Linked DNA regions of Lonchura striata. The protein of the gene in region 1 purifies or fractionates together with the protein of each later gene. This does not show direct contact. Links are inferred from orthologs where the notes say so. Each region holds a gene or a part of one and is shown on either strand. Other genes may lie near its edges.

Region 1 (7,953 bases):
AGTTCCCCCCCTTCTTCATGTATTTAAAAACAAATAAAAAACAACAAAAAAAGGAAGTGTGAAGAAGCAAACTTCAGAACCCATTGCCACTGCAGGTACTCAGATCTAAAGCTGCAGGTCTACAACACTGAAATGGCCAATAACTTAGCTTCATAATTGCTGGCATACTGAAATCCCAGCCCTCTGGCATCCTGTCAGACTCTCTTAGCTTGTGAAAATGCAATCATTAGGTAAAATGCATTGAAAAAAGTCACGTTCTCAATGCAAGGCATCGAAATGAATCCATCCAGTCCACCCATGAGTCAGAAGCAATATTGTGCATAAAGTCTCAATAAATAAGTCACAGCAAAGGAAAAGGATACTCCAGTGCACTATCTGGTTTCTCTGGCTCTTCATATAAGGCTACCAACACTGCAAATAGAAAATATTCAACAATTGCAAGAAATTCATGCAACTCTAAGTTTTTTAAACACATATCAGCAGTCAGAAAGCATACATGTTGTATTTGTCCATTTAACAAGATTTTCACTTGCACACTTTGACATAGGCAACAGGTCTGCTGTATCAGAGGGGACAGAGCATTCCACCTAGTAACAGCTAAAGAGAATTTTCTTGATCCCTAACCCCACATTGTGTTCTGGCTGTTCTAGCACAGAACATAAAACATCCTGAAAAAAAATTTACATATGCCACATGCACCCTAGTACTAGCTTTTACCAGTAAGACTGAAATTCTAACTATATTGTTCATAAAACTTGTACTTAAGCTACATCTTTAAACCACAAGACATCAGCAGATTTGTAACTTCCAGCAGAAGAGCAAACCTCCATTGATAATCTACAGTTACAAAACTAAACAGCTACTACACGGCTAGGTGACACTGATAATTTTTACGGGTAGGGACTCTAATGGCCAAAACCGCCAGAGAAAAGCAGCAATACCCCGACAATTTAAATAAAAATAGCCATTTACATAGCAACATAACGGGAGACTGTCACATGAACACCCAGGAAGTTCCCAATCACAACCACTCCCTGCTTCCCCACAGGGGCCATGTGCCAGTTTCAGAAGTCTTGAGCTACACAGCCAAACTGGTTTTAAGCTAAGTACTTCCTAAGTTAAAAGCAAAATTAGTCTGCCTCACTGCTTGGAAGATTTGTTTTGCCATCCCATAGGATGGCACTGCGATTGAAAAATCAAATGGTACTCACACACCAGGCCAAGAGTCTTAGTGCAGCAGCTATTTACTTGACATCCTAGATCTGCTGCTCCCTCTTTAAACAGCATATTTTCAATATTAGCAGAATATTAATTTTTTCATTATTAACACATTTTTTGCCACATACTACTAGAAGGTTCTCAAAAAGATTTTAGGAGGATTTCAAAAATACTAAGTCACACATGTCAAGTTGAGCATCATCATTTTCTCCAGTTTGATATGGAGAGTCATTAATCCAGAACTTAGTGTCATTCATTCTAGAAAAAAAAGCACTAAGTGCTGTTATAAATGAGAATTTATTCAGCCAGATTAAAAAATAAAAATAATTTTTATTAGCGGTCAAATTCTATCTAGCCAGCCACAAGGAAAGAACAGAGCCGAGCCTGGGGTTGGCCCTGGGTGTGCCACAAGGAGTCAGCCTCAGCAGAGGTTCTCCCCTATGCCCACACACCTCCATCCTGGCACAAGCGGTTTTTTATAGGGAAAATTCTGCCTGAGGCCAAGATTTTCTTCTATTCAGAGTCCATAGGTTAATAAGATTTTCTTTTTTTGGTAATGAGGAGAAATAATTCAATGTCCGAAGTAGGTGAATCCCTGATGAGATTTTACGGGAAGGCTGCATTCACATGGATCTGTCTGAGGATTTCTATGATATCCACCTCGGGCCATTCATGCGATGATCAGCACCGATGATCAACACCTGGAGCCCAGCCATGGCCCATCTCCTGGCCGAGCCACTTGTAAATCAGTTTCCAATATACACCCAGTCTCACCTGCAAAGGGGGGGAACTAATACAACGGGCATAATCTAACAAGTATCTAATATTACATATTTCATACAAGGAATGGCGCGAATTATATTTACTACACATAACAGTGCCATCCAAGAAAAGGTATGAAACAAAGTTCTTTTAAAATAACATTTGCTGTTATTTCATCTCAAGCACTGACTTCCTCTGTAGAAAAACCTCACAAAAAGCGCCCATTGAAAGAAAATAAACGACCCAAAGGCACGCATTGAAAGTAGCACTTCGGCCGAAGGAAGAGGTCTCCAGCACACACTGGGGGAAAGGAGCAGCCTTGCCGTTCTACACGCACCTCCAGCAGCGGCCGCCCGCGCGGGGAGCGTGCGGGGCAGGGCCGGTCCCAGCGCCCGCTGCCCTCTCCCGGCGTGCGCCGCCTCGCCGCGCACCTCGGACTCCATTTCCTGGCCACGCCGCACCAAGTTCTCCAGGCGAGTTCTTCTGCCGGCCGCCTCGCCGGACTGAGGAGAAAAAGCGATCGGCGAGGCGAGGCGCGAAGCCCATGGAGAGCGGCGGGGCAGCCCGAGGGACGGCCGAGACGCTGCCGGGCGGGAGCGGGACAGCCTGAGAGGAACGAGGAACGGCACCCGCCCGCAACGCCCCGGAGCGCGCCCGCCGGCCGCGAGCCGGACACTTACCCTTGGTGAGCATGTCCAGCACTCCCGACTTCTCCAAGTACTGGCGGAACTGCTCCCGCTTGGAGTCCGCGGCCTGAGGGAGGACGCCCACACGGTCAGATCGGCGGCGCGCCCCGCCTCGACTGCGGAGGCGGCCCTTTAGCACAGGCCGGTCCCGCTCTCCGCCGCAGAGGCGGCACGAAGGGCCGAGCCGGGGTCGGCCGGCGGCCCGCCGCTCCGCGCAGCCGGCACGGAGAGCGGCACCGCGCCCACGCCGGCGCGCTCCCCCCTACCTTGTGGTGCGCCATCTGAGCCGCACGGCGCCTGCCCCGGCCGCGCGCCTGCGCCCTGCGCTTTAACGGCGCGAGCGCTTCCCCGCGGTTGCCACGGCGACGGCGCCGCGGCAGCGGCAGCGCCGGGCCCGCGCGCCGCCCGCGCTCCCCTCAGCGGGGCCGCGCTCCCCTCAGCGCCGCCCGCGCTCCCCTCAGCGGCCGCGCCGGGCCCGCGCGCCGCCCGCGCTCCCCTCAGCGGCCGCGCTCTCCTCGGCGGGGCCGCACTCCCCTCGGGGCGGCCGCGCTCCCCTCGGCGCGGTCCGCTCCCCTCGGCAGGGCCGCGCTCCCCTCAGCGCGGTCCGCTCCCCTCGGCGGGGCCGCGCTCCCCTCAGCGCCGCCCGCGCTCCCCTCGGCACCGCCCGCGCTCCCCTCAGCGGGGCCGCGCTCCCCTCAGCGCGGTCCGCTCCCCTCAGCTCGGTCCGCTCCCCTCAGCGGGGCCGCGCTCCCCTCAGCGCGGTCCGCTCCCCTCAGCGGGGCCGCGCTCCCCTCAGCGGGGCCGCGCTCCCCTCAGCGCGTTCCGCTCCCCTCGGCGCCGCCCGCGCTCCCCTCAGCGCGGTCCGCTCCCCTCGGCGGGGCCGCGCTCTCCTCGGGGCGGCCGCGCTCCCCTCGGCGCCCCCCGCGCTCCCCTCAGCGCGGTCCGCTCCCCTCGGCGCCCCCCGCGCTCCCCTCAGCGCGGTCCGCTCCCCTCGGCGCCCCCCGCGCTCCCCTCAGCGCGGTCCGCTCCCCTCAGCGCGGTCCGCTCCCCTCAGCGCCGCCCGCGCTCCCCTCAGCGGGGCCGCGCTCTCCTCGGCGGGGCCGCGCTCTCCTCGGCGGGGCCGCGCTCTCCTCGGCGGGGCCGCGCTCCCCTCAGCGGGGCCGCGCTCCCCTCAGCGCGGTCCGCTCCCCTCAGCGCGGTCCGCTCCCCCCAGCGGGGCCGCGCTCCCCTCAGCGCGGTCCGCTCCCCCCAGCGCGGTCCGCTCCCCCCAGCGGGGCCGCGCTCCCCTCAGCGCGGTCCGCTCCCCTCGGCGCGGCCTCGCCCGCCTCGGGGCGGCCTCGCCGTCCGCTGCCGCCCGAGGGGAAGCCGAGCCCGGCGTCGTGCCCCCTTTCTTGCGCGGCCCTGCCTCCTCTCCCGCTCTGCCCTGCTCCCCTGGCCGGGGACGGTTCCGGGGCTCAGCTCAGCTCCCCGCGGAGAAGGCGAGCGGGGCCGCGCCGCGGGGTCCGGGCGGAGCTGTCCTGCGGGTCGCTGGAGTTCTTTCTGGTTTTCATAGTAAGCCTTCGGGTTTGTGAAATTCAAAGTGTCTGATTAATACATTTCAGTAGCTGCAGCTGACTGAAATCACAGGAGAAAGTTGCAGCCAGCAGCGGCTGCAGAGGGTCTGTGAGGCATTGAAGAGTGGTGAAATCTTCGCGACGAAAGTCTTTTGCCCTAGCCTGTTTAAAAAAAAAAAAAAAAAGAAAAGAAACTGTTACACCTGATTATTTTTCTGAAACGCTGACAGATAAAATCTATTTATTGTAGAAATTTTTAAAAATTAAAAGAAAAAGACCAACCAAATGATCTTGCACATATGACGTTAGGGAGTTTTCATGCTTTTTTTCCATGCTCTTCCACAATGTTTGCAGTTTTCAGTGGTTACTCTTCATTTGGGAAGGTGCTGTGATTAAACAAAATGTCTGACTCATATCCAGGCATAAAAAAGTTAATAAAATTCCTCTCACTGCAGCAGAAAAATTCATTTCTAACTTGTCTTGAACAACAAAAATACAGATGTCATGTCCCATACATGAACATCTAAATGCTAACTTTCTGTTATTTAGACAGCAGGAACAGAGTGCATTAAATATGAGGCTTTTTATTATGGAGAGATTAAATGCAAAACAAGCATTAGCAGTTATTGCCCACAGGATTTTACACATCAAGAAATGCAAGAATCAAAGCCACAGCAGCAGCATGAACTTGCCTAAGTCACACTATTACAGTTATGTATGTTCCAGTATAGTATACGACCTTAAATTTTACAGTGTAAACACAATTATGTATTTATGTATACACATAGAAGTGAAAAGGAAAGAAACCTACAGCAAATAGTTTTAATAGTTCTCATGTGTATTTCTTTAATGCTGCTACAAGCAAAATAGCAGTTTAGGTTTTCTGGCTTCTTTTTTGCTAGTATTGTACAGTTTTCAGGCAATCTGAAACATGGCTGGTTGGTAAGTATAATGACAGTGCACTTTAAGAATTTCATTGTGCTGTAACATCATTATGTTATATCTCACAGATTATTTTTTTCAACAGATGAACAGTATGTCATATCTGCTAGTAAGAAATACACACAAAAAATACTAATGCATTTCAGCTGTGACCACCTCACCAAGTATTTACAGTGTTTCAGTGCTGTGCACCTCAAATAAATGTATTCCATACATGGAAAGCTTGATTACAAATGTACCATAGTATTTTGTTCATCTTTGCCCCCTTTATAATTTCAAGATGTTTCATGGAACTTCCTTTACACCATATGGACCTGAACAGCAAGTGGATAAATGTCCTAATGTTTTGTTATCCCCATTAAAAGCATAAACACAAATGCTCCTCCTAAACAGGTAGGACCTTTGTTTGATTTAAAAGCTTATCAGTATTCAGGGGAGACACAAACAGAAAATGACTAGTTTTACTCTTTGATAAACCTTTTATATGTCTTTTGACATTGTAACTCAAATCAGGAAGGTACTACCATATTTGCTTTTTTTGGTTCTCTGTTTTTGGAGTTTTTTTTCTGTTTTCCATAGTAAACCTTCTGGTTTGTGAAAATCAAAATGTCTGATTAGTAAATTTCAGTAAATTGTTTTCTGATTTTGCTATCTTATTAGTGTTATGAAAAATGTCAAAAGTAAAGCTCACAACATGTCTGGAATTCCTGATGTTTAAAAAAAATAGCGGTGTATTGAATTCTGACAGTATACTATTAGAAATTCACTTTGATTTTTCTGCTGAGGTAGTCAGTGGTGATACACTGAAAAAAAGTACCATGGAGCCAACAAATTAGTGATCTGTTTTGCAAATGCTTTTTTTCTTTGTATTTACAACAGCTTGAACTGTGGAATAAGTTTGACATTCTGCTTTTGGTCAGCTACCAAGTGTCTGTTTGAATTCTCACACTGATTAGGCAGAGACATGTTTACCAATAAATTCTTTTGAGAGTATCTTTAACCTAATTTGATTTACTGGTCTTTGTAAAAATATTGTTAGACTGTAAATTTTGTCTCCTACTTTTATTCGGTTTTAATAGTACCAGCTGTGATTTTATGCCTTTTTCCTAATATGTGGGCTGAGAGGATGTATGTTTTCCTTTTTAGCTGGAATGTAGAAGTTTATACACTGAGATCTATGCCACATTTTCATTACAAAAGAAGTAAAGAAACTGTTTAAAATTACTTAGCTACTATTCAAAGGGTTACACAGCTATGTAAACAGCTGGCTAAAGTTGAATTATTTAGCTGCACTTACACGTAGGTCTGGGTTATGTCTCTGTTCAGGAATTATCCCAGCACTGGGTAGTGCAGCTAATGGGTTAACTCACACTATATTTGAAGATCAGTGGGGGCACGCCTACTGCTGGCATTACTTGACAGTGACTGTTGCCTAGACAGAGACAAAAGCTTAGGACTATTCCAATTTCTGCTTTGTGTAGATTCTGAGCTCACCACCCCCATGGAATCAGAAGTGTCTGGTCGGCTGGAATTTTTTCCATCAGCATTGTAAGGAATTTGGGCTTTGTTTACACTGAAACTGCTCTGTCTTCTGTCCCTGTTCTTTGGAAGAGAATTTGTTAGTGCTCCTGTGTCCTCAACCATTGTCTGTCGTCTAAAACCGGCATTAGGAAAAGTTGTACCAGGTTGCAATGAAGTTTGACCTGGCAACTCAGCAAAGCTTCTCAAGTACATGTTTGAGGCAGTATCTGCATTCTGAGTATCAACAAGAAAATGTTTCTTTTCAGCCTCTTCTTGTGCATCATGTGTCTCAGTCCAAAGCTCACCAAGAAAGCCTTCGTTATTATTTGTGCTAGCATTTTGAGTCTGATTGTCTAAAGCATTTGTAGCTGGCCTCTTCTTTGGAGATTTATTTTCCTGATTGCAATGGGTGTAATTGCTGCTGCTTTCTGCACGGTTATTTTGCACAGACTGAAACATAGAAGGAGAATTTAAAACTGGGTAGAGCATAGTGTCAGTTTGCTTTTCCATCAAAAAGGTATAACTGCTAAGAGCACAAGGAAGTGTTTTCTGAGGGGTGGTGGATATTCCCAAGGAAGAGTGTGGTATCGCAGAATATTTCTTAGATTTGTTTATGTAGAAATGGTCAGAGTCATCTTTGTTTTTATTCTGCTCACAGAGTCCCATTTTAATTTTCCGGAATCCTAAGTGGATAATTTCTAGAATATTTAAAAGCAATGATACAGTTGCTATTGATTGCATAAATAATATAAACACTGTCTTTTCTGTTGGTCTAGATACAAAGCAGTCAACTGTGTTTGGACATGGGTCTCTCTGACATTTATAAAGAGGATCTAAGTGAAAACCATAAAGAAGATACTGCCCAATCATAAAGCCAACTTCCACTGCAGATCTTGTGAAAATATGTATGACATAAGTGCAGAGCAAAGAGCCTCTTAGGGGTGCTTTGTTTAGCTTTCTTTGATCCAATTGCCGGAGCTCTCTCTCCAGTCTTTTACGATTTTCAGTCATTTCTAATTCAGTGCTTTCAAGTTCCACCCTTACCTGAGCTTTCTTTTTTTGCCTCTCTTTTTCCAATGCTCTTAGTCTGTATAAGGCATGACCCATATACACCAAAGAAGGGGAAGACACAAATATGACCTGCAAAACCCAGTATCTTATGAGAGAGATGGGAAAGGCCTCATCATAGCACACATTTCTGCAACCAGGCTGCTCAGTATTGCATATAAATTCTGATTGTTCATCATTCCAAACATCCTCGGTTGCCACTC
Region 2 (7,912 bases), on another chromosome or scaffold:
GTCAAAAAGGGCATGGAATTTCACAACACTACACAATGGAACAAGAGAACAGAAGTAGAGAAGCAGATATTGGAATGAGCAGGGTAATTCTAGAAAGGGATTAAAAAGTCAGCAGTGAGAAAATGAAGTAAGAAGAGAGACATCCAAGAGTTAGAAACAACCAGAAGGAGTCAAGTCAGAGCAGCACCGTCCCAGAGAGATCTGCTGTATTTTATATCACTAATTCCTGATAACTTCCACATTTATGTGATCACTCATATTAGAGCTGAGGGGGTACTATGTCAGAAATTACAGCACAAAGACACACCTTTATTCCTACCTTCCTTCTCTTCCCTATGCCAGCGCATACATAAAACAGTCTTTGTATTTTGGGTCTGGGTAAATTTAGAACAGAAAAAAAGTGTAATAATCTTCTAGTAACAAATCCTCCCATACTCACTCTCCCTTGAGACTCCCCTGTCTCAACTATTTCTGTCCTGGAAATCAGGTAACAGTATATACACTAGAACCCATACAAACAGAAGCACCATTATTGATCAATGTGCTTTTAAAAGGAAGGAAAAAAAAGTAATCTGTAATGTAAACACCAACAGCATTGACCAACTATAATGAATATCAAAATATTTTGCATCCATGGTTGATGAAAAGATTAGTTACAGATGTTCAGGGAAAAAAAAACCTACAGTGCCAATGCATAATAAACTGCAGACCCTGAAAAAAATTTCACTAATCTCAGTTAAATCCCTTATATACTGGAAAAGCAATTAATTAGCACAGCAAGAACATTTTATTACTTTACTAAAAGCAGGCATTACACTGAACTAAAATCCTGATTATAGTAGCTTCAGTATAGACTATTGAAGATTAAGTTTGCTTTTCTTTCTTCATAAGCATTCAAAACTTCTCCCACATCACTCCAGTCCATGAAGTAGACAAGCCTCTCCAGGCTTTGGAAAATGAGTTACTACCACATATCTGCTAATTAACTTAAATAGCACCAACTGGTATTTAGCTACAATGAATACTGCCACAAACACAGGGAAGTGCAGAATATACCAAAGTGGAAGGAATAAAGTAACTTTTCTTAAATGCTGACAAAGAAAACAAAAATACTTACTGCTTCAAATTTCTCCCTATTTTTCCGAAGATAGTCTACACAAGCCATCCTAACATCAATGTGTCGAGACTGAGAGTGCAACACCTACAAAGGGAGAAAGAGAACAAGGTGACATTGGATCTCAGGAGTTTTGATGACAGGCCACAAATAATTAATGACTGCTGTCTAAATACAGGCTTGGAAATACTCTAGCTTTATTTTTAAGAATATTTAATATGCATACTCATTCAGCAGCAACATCTTCAGGCAAGTCAAACCTCAATTACTTAATAAAAAATTAAGTAACTGCAGAATTCACAGGTTTGCTAAATTCAAACCTTCAATTTTATGAGGATTTACAAAGCAAATGAATATCATTTATTGTTAATCTTTAACTGCCTCCTTTGTAAAGGACTTCAGTTAATTGAAGGAAGTTACAGCAGGAATGGATGAGGAAGCCTACCAACATGCATTCATTCAAACAAAATCCAACCAAGTCTCACAGTGCATGTTTACCTTCTCCTCAAGAGGCGTGTTGGCCAAACACTTTTTTGGAAGCCAGGAATTCAGTTCCCTGAATATGACACCTATCTACCTCCCATTCAAATCTCTACTGGAAAACTATAATTTTCATCACATGTTACAAGTTATCTCAGTACAACCTAGAGAAGTCCCAGACAATTTAAGCTGCAGTGTCTCTTGCAGTCCTTACAAACCACCCTTAAAATAAATCACTTCCAAATTCAGTTTTTATGAATGAAGAGAACACAAATGAGACCAAATTTGCAGATAAACACTTAATAACTCTGAATTAAAGACCTTACTTTCTTAGAGGTCATTTCCAACCTAAATGATTCCATAATAAGATTGGGATGTTAAAAACATAATAGCTGAAATAAGTTTTATGAACACAGAAGTGTGAGAGAAACTTTCTAAGTATTAATTAAAAAGTCAGAATAGCAATATATATTTTATATATATATATTCTCTTGAGACAAAAACCCCCACCCACTTCCAATGAATAGTGTTTGCTTGCCTGAACTTATCAATTCAGTGGGGAAAGGAATTTTTTTTTTTTAAGTGATCTGTGTATAATTAGCACAGGAATCTGGGTTCCCACAATCAGAAGCACCAGAGCTCCCACTGCTGTTTGCTTGTACTTAAGACAAGATGACGCTGTCGCTTTTTTTCCTTTAACATTAACACTGAAATGGGGGAGGGGAATTCAACAGGAAGAACAGAAAATAAATTACTCACTTTCTCTAATTTTACAGTCAACTAATTAACAAAACTAAGAACGTGTCTTTTCAGCTCTAAATTCCTTTTCCTAGACAATCTCATACCCAGCAGTTGTATTTCGATGTTGAGATCTTACACTGAAAAAAGCTCTGAGGAGGCGGTGGAAGGTCAAAACAGATAAGGATTTCTTGGTGGCAGGAGGCAGCTGAACACCCGTAACTTCTCTCACCTCGCAAGGTGGAAATTATTTTTATAAAGTCACGTTTCTCACTGGCACATGACTGCACAACCCTAACCTATACCTGTCTGCGTTTTAACACTAATTACCACCCACTAATGAGATCCGCTTCCCATGCTTTCGTGAGAAGGAGCTTTGTTTATGTAACCAGTTACCTGCTCGGCCACAGCCCTGAAAAGGCAGGAGCCATCCTTGGCCACTTTCTTCCTGTACAAGCCCTGAGATCGCAGGTAGCGGTCCATGGACGTGTCCCCGGGAGCGTCGCTGCCGGGGTGGCTCTGCTCCCCTCCGCCGGCCCTGCCCGCCGCATCCATGCTCACCGAGGAGACCGCCGCACCCTCCTAGTCCCACATGGCGAGGAGAAGCCTCGGCGCAGCTCCGGGGCCGGGCACAGGTGCAACAGCCGGAGCGGGGGGCAGCGCTGGCCCGCCGGCAGCCGCAGGAGCAGGAACGGGAGCGGCAGGAAGAGCGGCAGCCGGCTTCGCCTTGTCCACTCGCATGTGGGGAGCGCGGAGAGAAGCGGCGAAGTTTCCTGCGCGGCCCGGACCCGCGGCTGCCCGGCCGCTGCGGAGGGCCGGGGGCAGCTCCGGCGGGTCCCGGTGCGCGGGGAGCGGGCGCGTCCCGGGCGCACGGCCGGCCTGCGGGCGGAAAACAAAAGGGAAAGGAAGGACACGTGCGGCCCGCCGGGAGGGAGAGAGGCGGAGGGCGCAAACAGGAGCGTAACCTGGCGCTTATTTTCACTTTCAGCCCGGGCGCTGCTGGGAGCCGTAGTCCCGGAGGAGGAGGAGGAAGCAGGAGGAGGCGGACACAGCGCCCGGGGCCGGGCTGTCAGCCTTGCTCCCGGTCAGGATCATTCCATTGCTTCTTAGAACCAACACCGCGGGAGTGGCTGGTGGAAAACTCGGCATAAGCCGGCAGTGTGCGCTCGCAGCCCACAAAGCCAGATGTAACCGGGCTCAATCCAAAGCAGCGTGGGCAGCAGGGCAAGGTGGGGGGGACTCTCTCCCCTTCTGTTGCCCTCTGCTGAGACTCCACCTGGAATATAGTGCCCAGCTCTGGTGCTCCCAGCACAACAACATGGAACTGTTGGAGCAAGTTCAGAGGAGGCCACGAAGTTGATAATGAGACTGGAGCACCTCCCCTACAAAGACAGGCTGAGAAAGTTTGGGCTGTTCTGCCTGGAGAAGAGAAAGCTGCATGGAAAACAAACAACAAGCTTCCAGTATCTGAAGGAAACCTAAAAGGAAGCAGAAGGACTCGGAACTGTGATGGGACAAGAAATAACAGACTCAAACTCACAGGGTGGAAATTTATGTTAGATATTAGGAAGAAATTCTCTACTGTAAGAGTAGTGAGACACTGGAGCATGTTGCCCACAGAAGCTGTGAATGCCCCATCCCTGGAAGTGTCCAAGGCCAGGTTGGACAAGGCCTTGAGCAACCTGGTCTAGTGAGAGGTGTCCTTTCACAGGGAAGTGGAGTTGGGACTAGATGATCTTTAAGGTCCATTCCAACCCCTTAACGTTCTATGATTCTGTCTGATATCTAATCCACAGTATGTGCAGTATCTGTGTCTAGGTAGGTTTTATTTGGTTTGGGGTTTCCCCCCAACAGATGAGATTGTAAGATTATTTTTTAACTCCATCCACTTGCAGGAAAGAAGATGAAAATAAAACTGAGAGAGTAAAAGAGGGCTTGATTGAAAATGGGATTTTAAAAAGCCACTGCCTTTCAATACTCCTAATGTATTAGGTTTTTTGCATGCCACTCCTAGTTGTAAGAAGCCTAAACATTTGTATCACAACCGCATGATTAAATTTTGCTTGGCATTATAAACAGGATTTAGAAGGTTTTGATGCAAAAATGTGACAAGGAAGGATGCTCTTCAAACTTGTAAGGCAACTTGAACAGAAACCCTGATTATTACTTTCAGCTGATAGTAGTAAGCCTAGGGAGGGTGGTGACTTGAGATCCTTAGGTAATAATAAGTAACTTATTAAATAAACACAAGTTACAAGCCAACCCAAGTCTAGTGCTCCACCAGCACCACACCGTCTCTAACAGAAGCTCAGGTTTGCCAGAAAGGAATAAGAAACAAATGCCAGTTCCTCATATCTCTGTATCTGTAGACAAGGAGAACAGAAAGTGAAAGAAGTGAAAGCAAAGCTCTACCCGCAGTCAAGCCTCCAAGACACAGTGAGGCAGCACAAGGATCGACGTTTTAGACACGGAAGAGGATAAAAATACCAGCAAGGGGCTGGAGGGAAAGCTCCAGCTTCTCCCCAGAAGATGGGAAACCTCATCTAACAAGGCTGAACTATAAACAGTTGCTGCCACTGACTCAGCTACCACACTCACTCAAGGAACTCAGGGCAGCAGTCCTGCATGTGAGAGCTACTTCTTCTGTAGGGAAAAATAATTTGGAAAGATACTTTTGAGACATATCATACTGGTGTCCAGTTACAGAGTTTCTTAGGAATATCCAATTTTTTCCTCACTCTATTTGTCATGTTTAAAGGCAGAACTGTGCTCTAATATTTAACAAATCTGTCTTCTCATATATTTCAGCCTTTTGTCATTGTGATTCTAAAGGCTGGTGAGGGGAAGGGCAAATGCCTTTCATCACATCTGTTAGACTCAAGAATGCCTATACACACCAGGCCATTCAGTATGTGACAGGATGTAAATGTGATTCTGATAAGTGAATACACAGCAAATTAGAGCATTAAAGTCGTCTAGTTGTCAGTGTTCTAAAATCCTGTTCCTCCTGCAATCAGCCCCTGAAGCTGACCAAGTGATGATCACCCACAGTTTTTTCCAAGTGCTACTATACAAGAATGAATCAATTTCTAAAGATTTTTAGTTCTCAATGAAGAAATCTACTCTGTACACATACTTGCTAAGGCTCAAGGAGAAATGCATCCACCAAAGGCACCTGAAACACCTCAGCATTACAATAAATGCTCCATTAAGATAAGAATGACCAAATTATAATTCACGAGTTATTACAGATGTTCTAACTACAGTTCCTACATATGCTCTAATTAGAGTTAATGCAGATGTTCTAATTAGCCGGCAGCTTTATTAACACTTTCGCCCAGCACTTATACCACGTGCATCAGCTCCAGCCACGAGTTTCTCCTCTCACTGCCCCTACCCTGAATCAGCCCAGGAAGCTGACTCAAGCCGAAAAAAATTCTTTTCAGGGAAGAAAAAAAAATAGATCTAACTTTATCTTTAAACCAAGATTGGTTTTGTGATCCAGGTCACGGCCTGCCTGTCCCAACACCTGGGCCAGCAACCTTGGGGAGAGCAGCCCGGTGCTCGCCGGCCTCGCGCGCCCTTTCCCGGTTCGCCACGCGCCCTCTCCCACCGCAGCTCGGGCACGGGCGGCCCGGCGGGGCAGGCCGGGGACAGGCACCCGGGCAGGGGCGGCCCCCGAGCCGCGGCCGCTGCCCCGCCGTGCCCCGCCCGCCGCTCCGGCACCGGCACCGCCGCCGCCGGGGCCGCACTCCCGCTGCCGCCGGCCCATGGCACTTACCGGCCCCCTCCTCCTATTCTCCTCCCCGCGGGCGACGCTGGCAGTGCCGGCAGCACTGACGCTCCTCGCCCCGCCGCGGCCTCGGCACTTCAATCTCCCGCGGCGGCCGCTCCGCCCGCTTCGCTCCTGCGGATGCACCCGCTGCCAGCCCCGTCCCGTCCCGCCCTCCCGCCGCGCCGATCCCCCCCCGCCCGCTGTTGGTTTGTCCCGCCGGCCACACCTGCGGCTCGCACCATTCACCGCGCGGGGGGGCGCCGAAGCGGGGGAAGAGGAGGCTGGGGAGAGCGCCCGGGCGCCGGGGCAGCGAGCCGGATGTAGCGCTGGGATGCTGCGTTGGGTCCGGCCCTGGTCGGCTCGGAGGAGCCGGATGGTGCCGAGGCGAGCGGCAGTGGCCTCATGTCGTCCTCACCCGTAAAGCCCGCAGTGGTACAGCCGAGGAACCTTTCCTTCCCCTCACCCAGCAGGTCCCAGCGAGGGGCGGGAATTGCCATGTGCCAGCGCTTCCCTCGGCTGTGCAGCCCGGCTGAGCGCCCCGCTCCGCCTGTGCGGCGCAGCGCGAAGCGTTTCTAAGCGTGTTCCTGACGGGGCAGTGTTCTTCTTAGTGAGGTGGCAGCCCGGGGAATAGGTTGGGATAGCACAGGGGACACCCCGCGTCACGCTGGCCGCAGGGATCACGCCACAGAGGTCGGAGGGGACGCCCCAGAGAGACACGGGTTGGAGGGGACTTCCACAGCTGGTTGTGCTGCCAGAAGGAGAAGTTGCTGAATTACGCCCTCGGTTCGTGCGTGCTACCACAGTAATTGTGTGTGTTTCTGAAATGTAACCATATACAGAGAGTGCATTCTCATATTCCGTTGCTCTTCCTCGGAAATGCTCTAGCAGACATGAAGAAACGTGTGAGATGTTTGTAAAGAAGTAGTGGGAAGGTTGTGAGAAGAGTGAGCAAATGTGCAGCAAATAGAAATTCGATTTTTTTTTTTTTTTTCCCTGACTAAAAAGCTTATGCAGGATGGGAACTCAATAGCAGCATGGCCAGCAGGGCAAGGGAGGGAATTCTGCTACTCTGCTCTGCTCTGGTGAGAACCCACCTGCAGTCCTGCATCAGCTCTGGGGTCCCCAGCGTGAGAAATTGTGGGAGCAAGTCCAGAGGAGGACCATGGACATACTCAGAGGATTAGAGCACCTCTCCTTTGAAGACAGGCTGACAGGATTGGGTTTTTCAGTCTGGAGAAAGTGCTGGGGAGACCTTGCCTGTAGCCATTCAGTACCTAAGAGGGGCTACAAGAGAGCTGCAGAGGGATTTTTTACAAGGGCCTGTAGCAAGAGAACAAGGGGACATGGCTTTAAACTGAAAGAGGGTAGGTTTATATTAGACAGTAGGAAGAAATTCTTTACTCTGGGGATGGTGAGGCATTGGCACAAGTTCTCCAGAAGAAGGTGTGGATGCCCCATCCCTGGAATTGTTCAAGGCCGTGTTTGATGGGACTCTGGGCAACCTCATCTAGTGGAAGGTGTCCCTGCCTGTGGCAGAGGTGCTGGAACTGGAACTCCTTCCAGCCCAAACCGTTCCATGATTCTGTGAGTCAGCTGTCCCGGCCATGCTCCCTCCCAGCTTTTCATGCACTTCTCCCTCACTGGCAGAGCATGAGACACTGAAAAGTCCTTGACTAAGGGTAAGCACTACTTAGCAACGAGCAAAACATCAGAGTATTTTTCTCATACTGTATCCAAAACAGAGCACTGTACCAACTACTTGAAAAAAAAAAAAAAATGAACTCCATCCCAGCCAAAACCAGGAC
Region 3 (8,010 bases), on another chromosome or scaffold:
ACAATGGTCTGTTGAAAACAAATTTTCTTTCAAACACAGTTTTCTAAAGCAGAGCAGAACAGCTTCTCTGTTTAAAACCCTCCATTTCTCCCACTCTCTCCTGGGGTTTACTGGCACTACAACTAGAGGAGACAAGAGACAACCGTTACACCTACTGATGAAGCAAGAGACTGAATGAAAGAATCTATTCAAACTCTGCTTACTTAACATTAATGCTGTCTATTTCAAAGGAAGGCATGAAAAGAAGCAAAGAACCCAAAACACCACCACTGTGAAGTGGTTTTGCTCCATTTCCTCCATACTTGCATACTGTGCATTTCTGTCCTACTCGCACCTACCTATGTTCTTCTGATTTCTACAAGGTCATGTGTATTCTGTAGTCCAAAACTGATCAGTATTAGTCCAGTGAAAGGACCGAATTACAGGGGAAAAAAGGGTGAGAAGATTTTAAATTTAGAAAAATTAAAGCAGATTAAAATAAGAATTAGATAATACCTCTACACAAGAGAGACAGCAACATTCAGTAGTAATTTACTTAAATTCTTAGGAGTTATATGTACAAACCAATACACAAGTCATGTAAGAAAACAAGTATTCTCATAGAAACTTTTCTCTCTCACCAAACAACAAATGTAAAGCATAGGTAAGTAATAGAAACATTACTGCAGTAACACCATAGCAGAAGCCATAAAAACTGGCTCATTTCTATTAGGCAGCTGTAGAATACACCAGTTTCTCCCTGTTTGGGAAAAAAAAAATTCATCTTAGACTTTCCTAGTCCCAGGAGCAGATATCAGCTACACATGCTCCATGCCTGTGTTCCTGGTTTATAATTGGCACAATGCCACAAGGCTTGAATAAAAACACCATGGCATAGAGAAGACTGCACAGCAAAAGGGATTTAGTAAGAAGTAGAAATGGATTATTCTAAGTATAACTTGGAGAAAAGTGCAGCTGACACAATGACCTCTTTCAAAAAGTAACTACATTTCTTTCAAACAGAATTATTTTTATTCAGTGTTAACTGCACTTTTTATTATTATTCATAATACTGAAGCTTCTTTCATCCATGACAGCCTCTGTAGGTTACAAAGTTTGGCCTGAATTCTTCACTCTGCCAGTAACATTCTTGCCACATTTCCTCACATATTTACTATTGCACAGAGCTTGAAAATTAAGTGGACACTTTTGGAATTGTCATAGTCTCAGTTAATACAAATTATATGCTTAATTAAAATTAAGTATATGGAAATAAAACAGATTTTTTCATTTAAGAAAAAAAAAAAAAAAGGCTTAACCAAAATAGAACAAAGTTTGGGGAAAAAAAATCACATGTAAATAAAAGAATCCCCATTCCTATTGGCAACCTATAATGATCAAGTAATATTCACCAAATATAACAGAGATCCTCCCATACAGTCATCCAGGCCCCTAACCGTTGGTCAACAGAAGGTTATCTCTTTATGCTGACCTCTGCTTTAGTCCAGAAAAGTCCATGGGCTCCTTTTCAAAGCAAGTTTGTTACATGCACCATGACAAGCATTATCTCCCCTCCAACACACAACCTCAGAACATGCAGGCACAGCCACAGCCCCAGTGGCAGGTGCCAACAGGGGCCATTGCACAACACTCCTCTCAAAATCATCGTCTGCAGTGCCTCAGCAAACACAGACCTTCACCAGGCACCTGAGAAGGAAGTTCCCCTTCTCAGCCTCTAAATATGTTTATATAGCAGCAAAACAGGTTCTCTGCCCTGTACGTGGGTTCAGTGCGTGTGGGGGCAGCTGGGGAGGAGATCAGGAAAAGGAACTCATTAGGAAAAACAGACCCTAGCTGCTGGGGCATATGTGTTGCTCTGCTGCTCACAATGCCAACTTCAAGTAATAATTCAAATACTCTTCTGTCTGGTTACCCTTCTCTGGATATACTGTCACTACAGAGAGCTCCTACAGATCTCCTGGCAGTAAAGACTGCTGGGAGGAAGATAAAAATGACAGCATTTCTTTAAGCTCACTCTGTCCAGGCCAGACCTGCACCTGCCCAGCCTCCTTACATACCCAACCTGTCTTTTTTCTGTCTTGCATACACTAAATGTTCCCAATTCCAAGGAAAATATTGATGGGATGCAACCAAAACTGAAAATGTCATTTTTGCAAATTAAGAAAGGGCCAGAGAGAGCTCCAGCTTCAGAGCTCTACTGTTCTACTTGGTTTATCTTCTCCCTCTCTGTGACACACCGTTTTGTCAGAACTTTTACCACAGAGATCTTTGCATAAGCTTGTACTTGCAGATTTCAGGAGCAGTCCACAAATTTCACAAAAAGCGATTTCAGCTCTGAAAACATCACAGATATTATACGGGCATTTGGTTACAATGCTAACAGTCCTTAATCAGTCCGAACACAACCTGGAGATCAGGTCATATCTGACATCCCGAGAAGCTCCGGGACTTAAAAACTCTTGTTTCCTAGTCGAAAAGTTACAATTAATTTTCTCAAAACCGAAGTGGCTCTCAAAACCAAGTCCCTCCTGTTTCACACCGAGACCAGAACTTAATAAAACGGGTATTTGGGGTTTTTCCCCGCGTATTTGCACGTCCTGTACTGGAGAGAGAGCTCTCCCTCCGCCCCAAGGTCCCGAGAGGCTCTCCCGCACCTCCCGGGACGGCAGGCGGAGGGGACACGTGCGGAGGGCCGGGCCCCTTCACCGCCGTGCCCCGTGCGGGCCGGGCCGGGCCGGGCCGGGCCGACTCACCCAGCGCCACCTGGCAGGCGGTCCGCAGCTGCCCGTGCGGGGGCCGCTTCGCCTCCTTCTCCGCCAGGATCTTCTCCAGCGCCCGCGACACGAACATGCTCTTGGTGCGGGCGTCCTGCTCGTGAGCCGGTGGCTGCATGACGGGGCCGGGAGCGGGACGAGCACCGGGCCCGCGACACCACCCGGAAGGGACGCGCCTCCCTCAGCGGCCGCGCCACGGCGCCGCCATCTTGACACCGTCACGTGATGCGGCCGGCCCTGACCCCGCCCGCGGGGCCGCGCGTGCCGGGGGCGGGGCCGAGGGCGGGGCAGAGGGCGGGGCCTGCCTGAGGGGCGGGGCGGGCCAGCCTGAGGGGCGGGGCGGGGCCGAGGGCGGGGCCTGCCTGAGGGGCGGGCCCGGCCAGGCCCGAGGGAAGCTGTCAATTACTGCCCGGGATGTGATTTACTGTCGCGTTGGGGGAATAGTCGGGTTTATAATGCTTCTGACCTAAGTATCTCGCCATTCGCATTATCCCTGTTAACTCTCACACAGTCCTGTAACGAGGCATGCAGAGAGAGCACATCTAAAAAAGCCAAGTCGTACACTAATGAGGACTCACTAAAAATGAAATTTTCAGTCACAGCTATGAACTCTCTGTTAATAAATAACCTTATACCTAATTGAATCTTCTCCCTTTCCCCTTTGCCTAGGTAAAGCACCTCACAGCTGAAACCCGGTTCGGGGCTCCAAAGCCGGTAGCCATGGGCAATAATCTGTATTTACTCCATTGGCACCATATGGCAACAATCCATATTTACCCTATTGGCACCGTGCAGCAATAAACCATATTTACTCCATCAGCACCATGTGGCAAGAATCCGTATTTCCTCCATTGCACCCTCCTTGTTCTGCTAACCATCACTGTGCACAGACAGCTCTTCCATGAAATTCCACAAAGGTCTCCTTCAAATTCAGATGGCCACATCTAATGGGGAATACAGGAGCACATTCAGTTCTCCAGATTGCAGTTTTGCTTCCTTTTTCTCAAACAGCAGGACTCTAACTCTGTAAAATGACATCAATAAATCTTCAGTGTTGCTTTGTCAAGAGCTGCAATTCTTGTCCCCAAAACCACTAACAAAAGCTCCAAACACCTGTGCAAAGCATCAGTTTAGTATTATTTCCCAGGGAAAATTGACCAGTGCTTGTAATTTTTGACACATATTTTTAAAATCAAAAATGTGACTGCAAACCCAACCCCCAAGGTATACATCTAGATGTTCCTTTCACTTACTCTACTGCACATTAAGGGTAATTTTACTGTTATCACTGAAATTACAGTGATGCAAAAGTGACATTACTAAAAGACAAACAAGGCCCTGAATCTTTTTTGAGAGTTGCTGACTTAGTTATTGACACAAAAGGAGGCTGTAATTACTGTCAGCAGCATTGCAGAACTAATTAAGCAGCAGAGCTCTTCACATATTGTCAGCCAAATTATCAGTTCTGATTTTAGGGTTTTTATCGTGGGACAGGATTAGTTCTCAGGAGAGAAGCAAATGGATACAGGCTAGTTTTTAGAAAACAGATTGAACAGATGGTTTAACGGAGATTTTAAAAAATTTTCTATCAGGTAAGCCCCCTGTTTTTGAAATCACAGAGTACTATCTGAATTCATAGGTGTAGGGCTACACTGGGGTTGTGGTTTGGATTTCAAAGAGCCAAGAGCCAGTAGCAGGCCTCGGTTTTTCAGCGAGCTCTGATGCCAGCGGCAGATGAAGAACGCAGAGCTGCTGCGTGGCATGCTCCCCTAGCTGAAGTTTGGTTATAGCCAAGGGCTTCTTTTACCTGAACACCAAATGCACCTGGGCTTCCAGCACATGGCATAATGCCTCAGTGTCTCCCAGCCCACACGATGTCTCCACCACGAGAGACAGACCGTCCTGAAGTCCAAGAGGCCTGCTCCGCACACAGTGCTCTCCTTACGCTGCCGTCACGGAGAACTAAACTCAGTGGAAGAATAATGGCCTTGATGTCATTCTTACGACTAGTTTCAAAGATTCTTTTCCTCAGAGTATTTTAAAGATTACAGTAGCTGATTTTGAGGGAAGAATGTGAGTCATTTGGCTAATTCAAGAGCAGCATAGCCAGTGCAGTGCTGCTGCTGAGCGCAGCACCGTGCTGCAGAGCGGAGCTGCGTGATGTGTGCCGCTGGCTGCAGACAAAGAAAGAAAGCCTTTCAGTGGGAGAGGAGGCAGAGCAAGGGGGAAGAAATACACGTATCTCATGCATGTGCTTGCCAGTGCGTTCCATGCCAATTCCAACGATTACTATTAAACTGCTGTAAATAGCTCATTGTGGCAAATACGTCTGTAGTGCGAGACATAAATCATGAGCAAACAATGCCGAACAGGTGGACAGAGTTCAATTTGTACAAGCTACTTCCTTGGCAAGAAGCTGCTCTGGATTTCTGCCCAGAGGCCAGGTGCTCTGTACTGACTCACAGGACTAACCTCGCAGCACTTTCCCACTGGCATGTTGCTACATAGCTTGTTTTAGGAAGGAAACCACAGTCTAAAAATAGATGCAGAAAGGACATTCTTGGAAATGGGAAATTCTTGGAAAACCAGTACTGGTCTGTATAGTAGCTTGGTTCCCAGTCCAGCATTAGCATAGAACTTCTTTTACTTCTGCCTATTTTTAATAATTTCCTTTGGGACTGATCCTATTTATTCTGCCTGGCTTCCAGCCACTTTTCCTGCTGTCCAGTAATGTACTTATTTGTGGATTTCCCCGGGGGGGTATCATCATTTGATTCACTGTCTCAACTCTCTAATTTTTTCCAGTTCAACACTGCATGCTCTAAAATCAGTAAATCCACATAGTAAAGCGCTCTTCCACTGCTAGCAATATAATTGAGATAACTATTAAGTGAGTAATTATTCAAGTATTTCTGTGATATTAGCGAGGCATTTCACCATGATGTGTATAGACAATGCTCTCCCTTTCACTCCCACTATTTTCTTCAAATCCCAGTCTGAGACCTTCTGTGTCTTCTGACCATCTTACTGCCAGCAGGCTCACACAGACCTTGCACTCCAGCCAGAGAAGCCCTGTAATGTGAGAAAAGGACAGACAATATATCTAAACAGCACTGTGTAATGTCATGAGATGAAAAGAAAAATCACTTGGCAGGAGAGGCACTGGAGCTGCTTGTCCACCGAGCTGGGCCAGGCTGGGCAGGAGCTGCTGCAGCCAGCCCTGCACCACAGCCAGCCCTGCACCGCTGACAGCCCTGCATCACTGCCAGCCCTGCATCACAGCCCTGCACTGCATCGCTCCCAGCCCTGCACTGCTCCCAGCCCTGCACCACTCCCAACCCTGCACCGCTGCCAGCCCTGCACCGCTGACAGCCCTGCATCACTGCCAGCCCTGCACCGCTGCCAGCCCTGCACCACAGCCAGCCCTGCACCGCTGCCAGACCTGCACCGCTGCCAGACCTGCACCGCTGCCAGCCCTGCACCGTTGACAGACCTGCACCACTGCCAGCCCTGCATCACAGCCCTGCATCACTGCCAGCCCTGCATCACAGCCCTGCACTGCATCGCTCCCAGCCCTGCACTGCTCCCAGCCCTGCACCACTCCCAACCCTGCGCCGCTGCCAGACCTGCACCATTGACAGCCCTGCACCGCTGCCAGACCTGCACCGCTGCCAGCCCTGCACCGTTGACAGACCTGCACCACTGCCAGCCCTGCGGTGCTGCAGCCACCACTGGCTTTCAAACCTGCTCACTGCTGGGATTTACTTTTTAACCCAATATTTTACCTTGAAGTAAGTTACAAAGGATAATAGCAGTATTTCAAATAAGTGAGATTTATACAATTTTAAGTAAATACAAATTAAATTCTTCTTTCCTTATAAAGCCATCAGAATAGATCAGATTTGCAGTTCTCTCTCTCTCAAAAGAGAACTTGAACTTTCTTATTAAAAAATCTGGAATACATACTTTGGCAATACCCCAAATCTGCAGTTTTCATTTTTTTCACATTTCAAAGAATCGGCAGCCTGTCCAAAGAAAGTAGATATTTATCCCACACAATAATTTTGTTAAATTAATTTTTTTTTTTGTTGACCTTTCAATAAACACCAAGTTAGAGATTTTTTTTCACTTGTCCTGGCAGAAGGAGCCAATCCTGAGATCCGCTGTGGTACCAGACTCACATGAAGGTATCACAATAAATCACGTGTACTGGACAGAAGCAGACAAAGACCCTTCGATGCTGAACTGCAGCCTCTGTTCCTTGTTATGGGATCAAATAATATGTAACCATAAGAGGATGGTAAGGAATATAACAGTGTTCAGACAAGCAGAGATGCAACAGAATCTGAAGGTCAGACTTAAATCAAAGTGTTCACATATTCAAAAATTATTGCCTTTGTGGCCCATATTACTGAACAGCCACTGCTCTCACTGGTAGCAGAGTGTGTTTCTGATGAGCAGCAGCCCTAAACACAGTCATTTTAATAGCTTAACATAGGCTTGAAATTTTCTGTTTTCCTTTTACAGTGTTTAGAACCATATCAAAAGTCTGCAATTACCTACATACAGAGAAACATTAGAAACAACGTGTTTTGAAAAAAGCAAAAGTGCATTTATTTTTAAAGGATAGCAGCCAGAGAGAAGGAGCATTTGGGGAAAATATTTTTGCCAACTCCTGCTTTTGCCTGCAGAGCAAGAAGTGTAATTGTTTGGAAAGATGCAAATGAAATTGAGTAGCTCCCACACCCTGGGGTGCTGGAGAGGTGGAAGACCTGGGGCTAGATAATCACTCACTTCCAAATTTCCTGTCTGAGAGGTGATAATGAGACTTTACTTGCCACAGAAGCAAGTGCTAGTTGGAGTTGTGTATATTTGAATGGCACAGACCTGGCTGTTCACATTGTGTCTGTGCACAGAAGAGCCTACTTTGCACAGCACTCTGCTTTTCACTTAGGCAAGTGTATAATGAGGCAGATTTTGTTGACACAAACCTTGTACTCAGTAAAAACAAAGGAAATGGAATACTAAGCTACAGAAGATCCTGGTTTTCAATTGTAGTGGGTTTCTATCAGGATAACTTCAGTCAGAAGAGATGAGTAGCTCTTTGAGGAATTAAAATGATGTGACCTTCTCTCTAACCTTTAATCTGATCTTTATTTCTCATAATTTCTTGTAAGAAACTCAGAGTGCCATCAAGAAATGTCCCTAGCTTTATCATACAGTATAGACCTTACTC

What was found. The genes of interacting proteins can lie anywhere in the genome.
Region 2: the proteins of MYCBP (region 1) and OTUD4 purify together in Homo sapiens (co-immunoprecipitation; 3 studies listed by BioGRID and IntAct, with this or other methods). This does not show direct contact. The link is inferred for Lonchura striata from reciprocal best matches to the Homo sapiens genes MYCBP and OTUD4.
Region 3: the proteins of MYCBP (region 1) and ARFGEF2 purify together in Homo sapiens (co-immunoprecipitation; 4 studies listed by BioGRID and IntAct, with this or other methods). This does not show direct contact. The link is inferred for Lonchura striata from reciprocal best matches to the Homo sapiens genes MYCBP and ARFGEF2.

The regions. Positions count from the first base shown.
Region 1 is NC_134628.1:5,085,698-5,093,650, forward strand, and holds the start of MYCBP (C-Myc-binding protein), read right to left. Parts: upstream 3,010-7,953; 5' UTR 2,948-3,009; coding exon 2,933-2,947; intron 2,734-2,932; coding exon 2,661-2,733; intron 412-2,660; coding exon 363-411; intron 1-362. Other genes in the region: GJA9 (gap junction alpha-9 protein), read right to left, coding at 6,533-7,953. UniProt on the Homo sapiens protein: May control the transcriptional activity of MYC. Stimulates the activation of E box-dependent transcription by MYC.
Region 2 is NC_134606.1:62,009,728-62,017,639, forward strand, and holds the start of OTUD4 (OTU domain-containing protein 4), read right to left. Parts: upstream 3,011-7,912; 5' UTR 2,888-3,010; coding exon 2,729-2,887; intron 1,202-2,728; coding exon 1,118-1,201; intron 1-1,117.
Region 3 is NC_134619.1:557,783-565,792, reverse strand, and holds the start of ARFGEF2 (brefeldin A-inhibited guanine nucleotide-exchange protein 2), read right to left. Parts: upstream 3,011-8,010; 5' UTR 2,893-3,010; coding exon 2,754-2,892; intron 1-2,753. UniProt on the Homo sapiens protein: Promotes guanine-nucleotide exchange on ARF1 and ARF3 and to a lower extent on ARF5 and ARF6. Promotes the activation of ARF1/ARF5/ARF6 through replacement of GDP with GTP. Involved in the regulation of Golgi vesicular transport.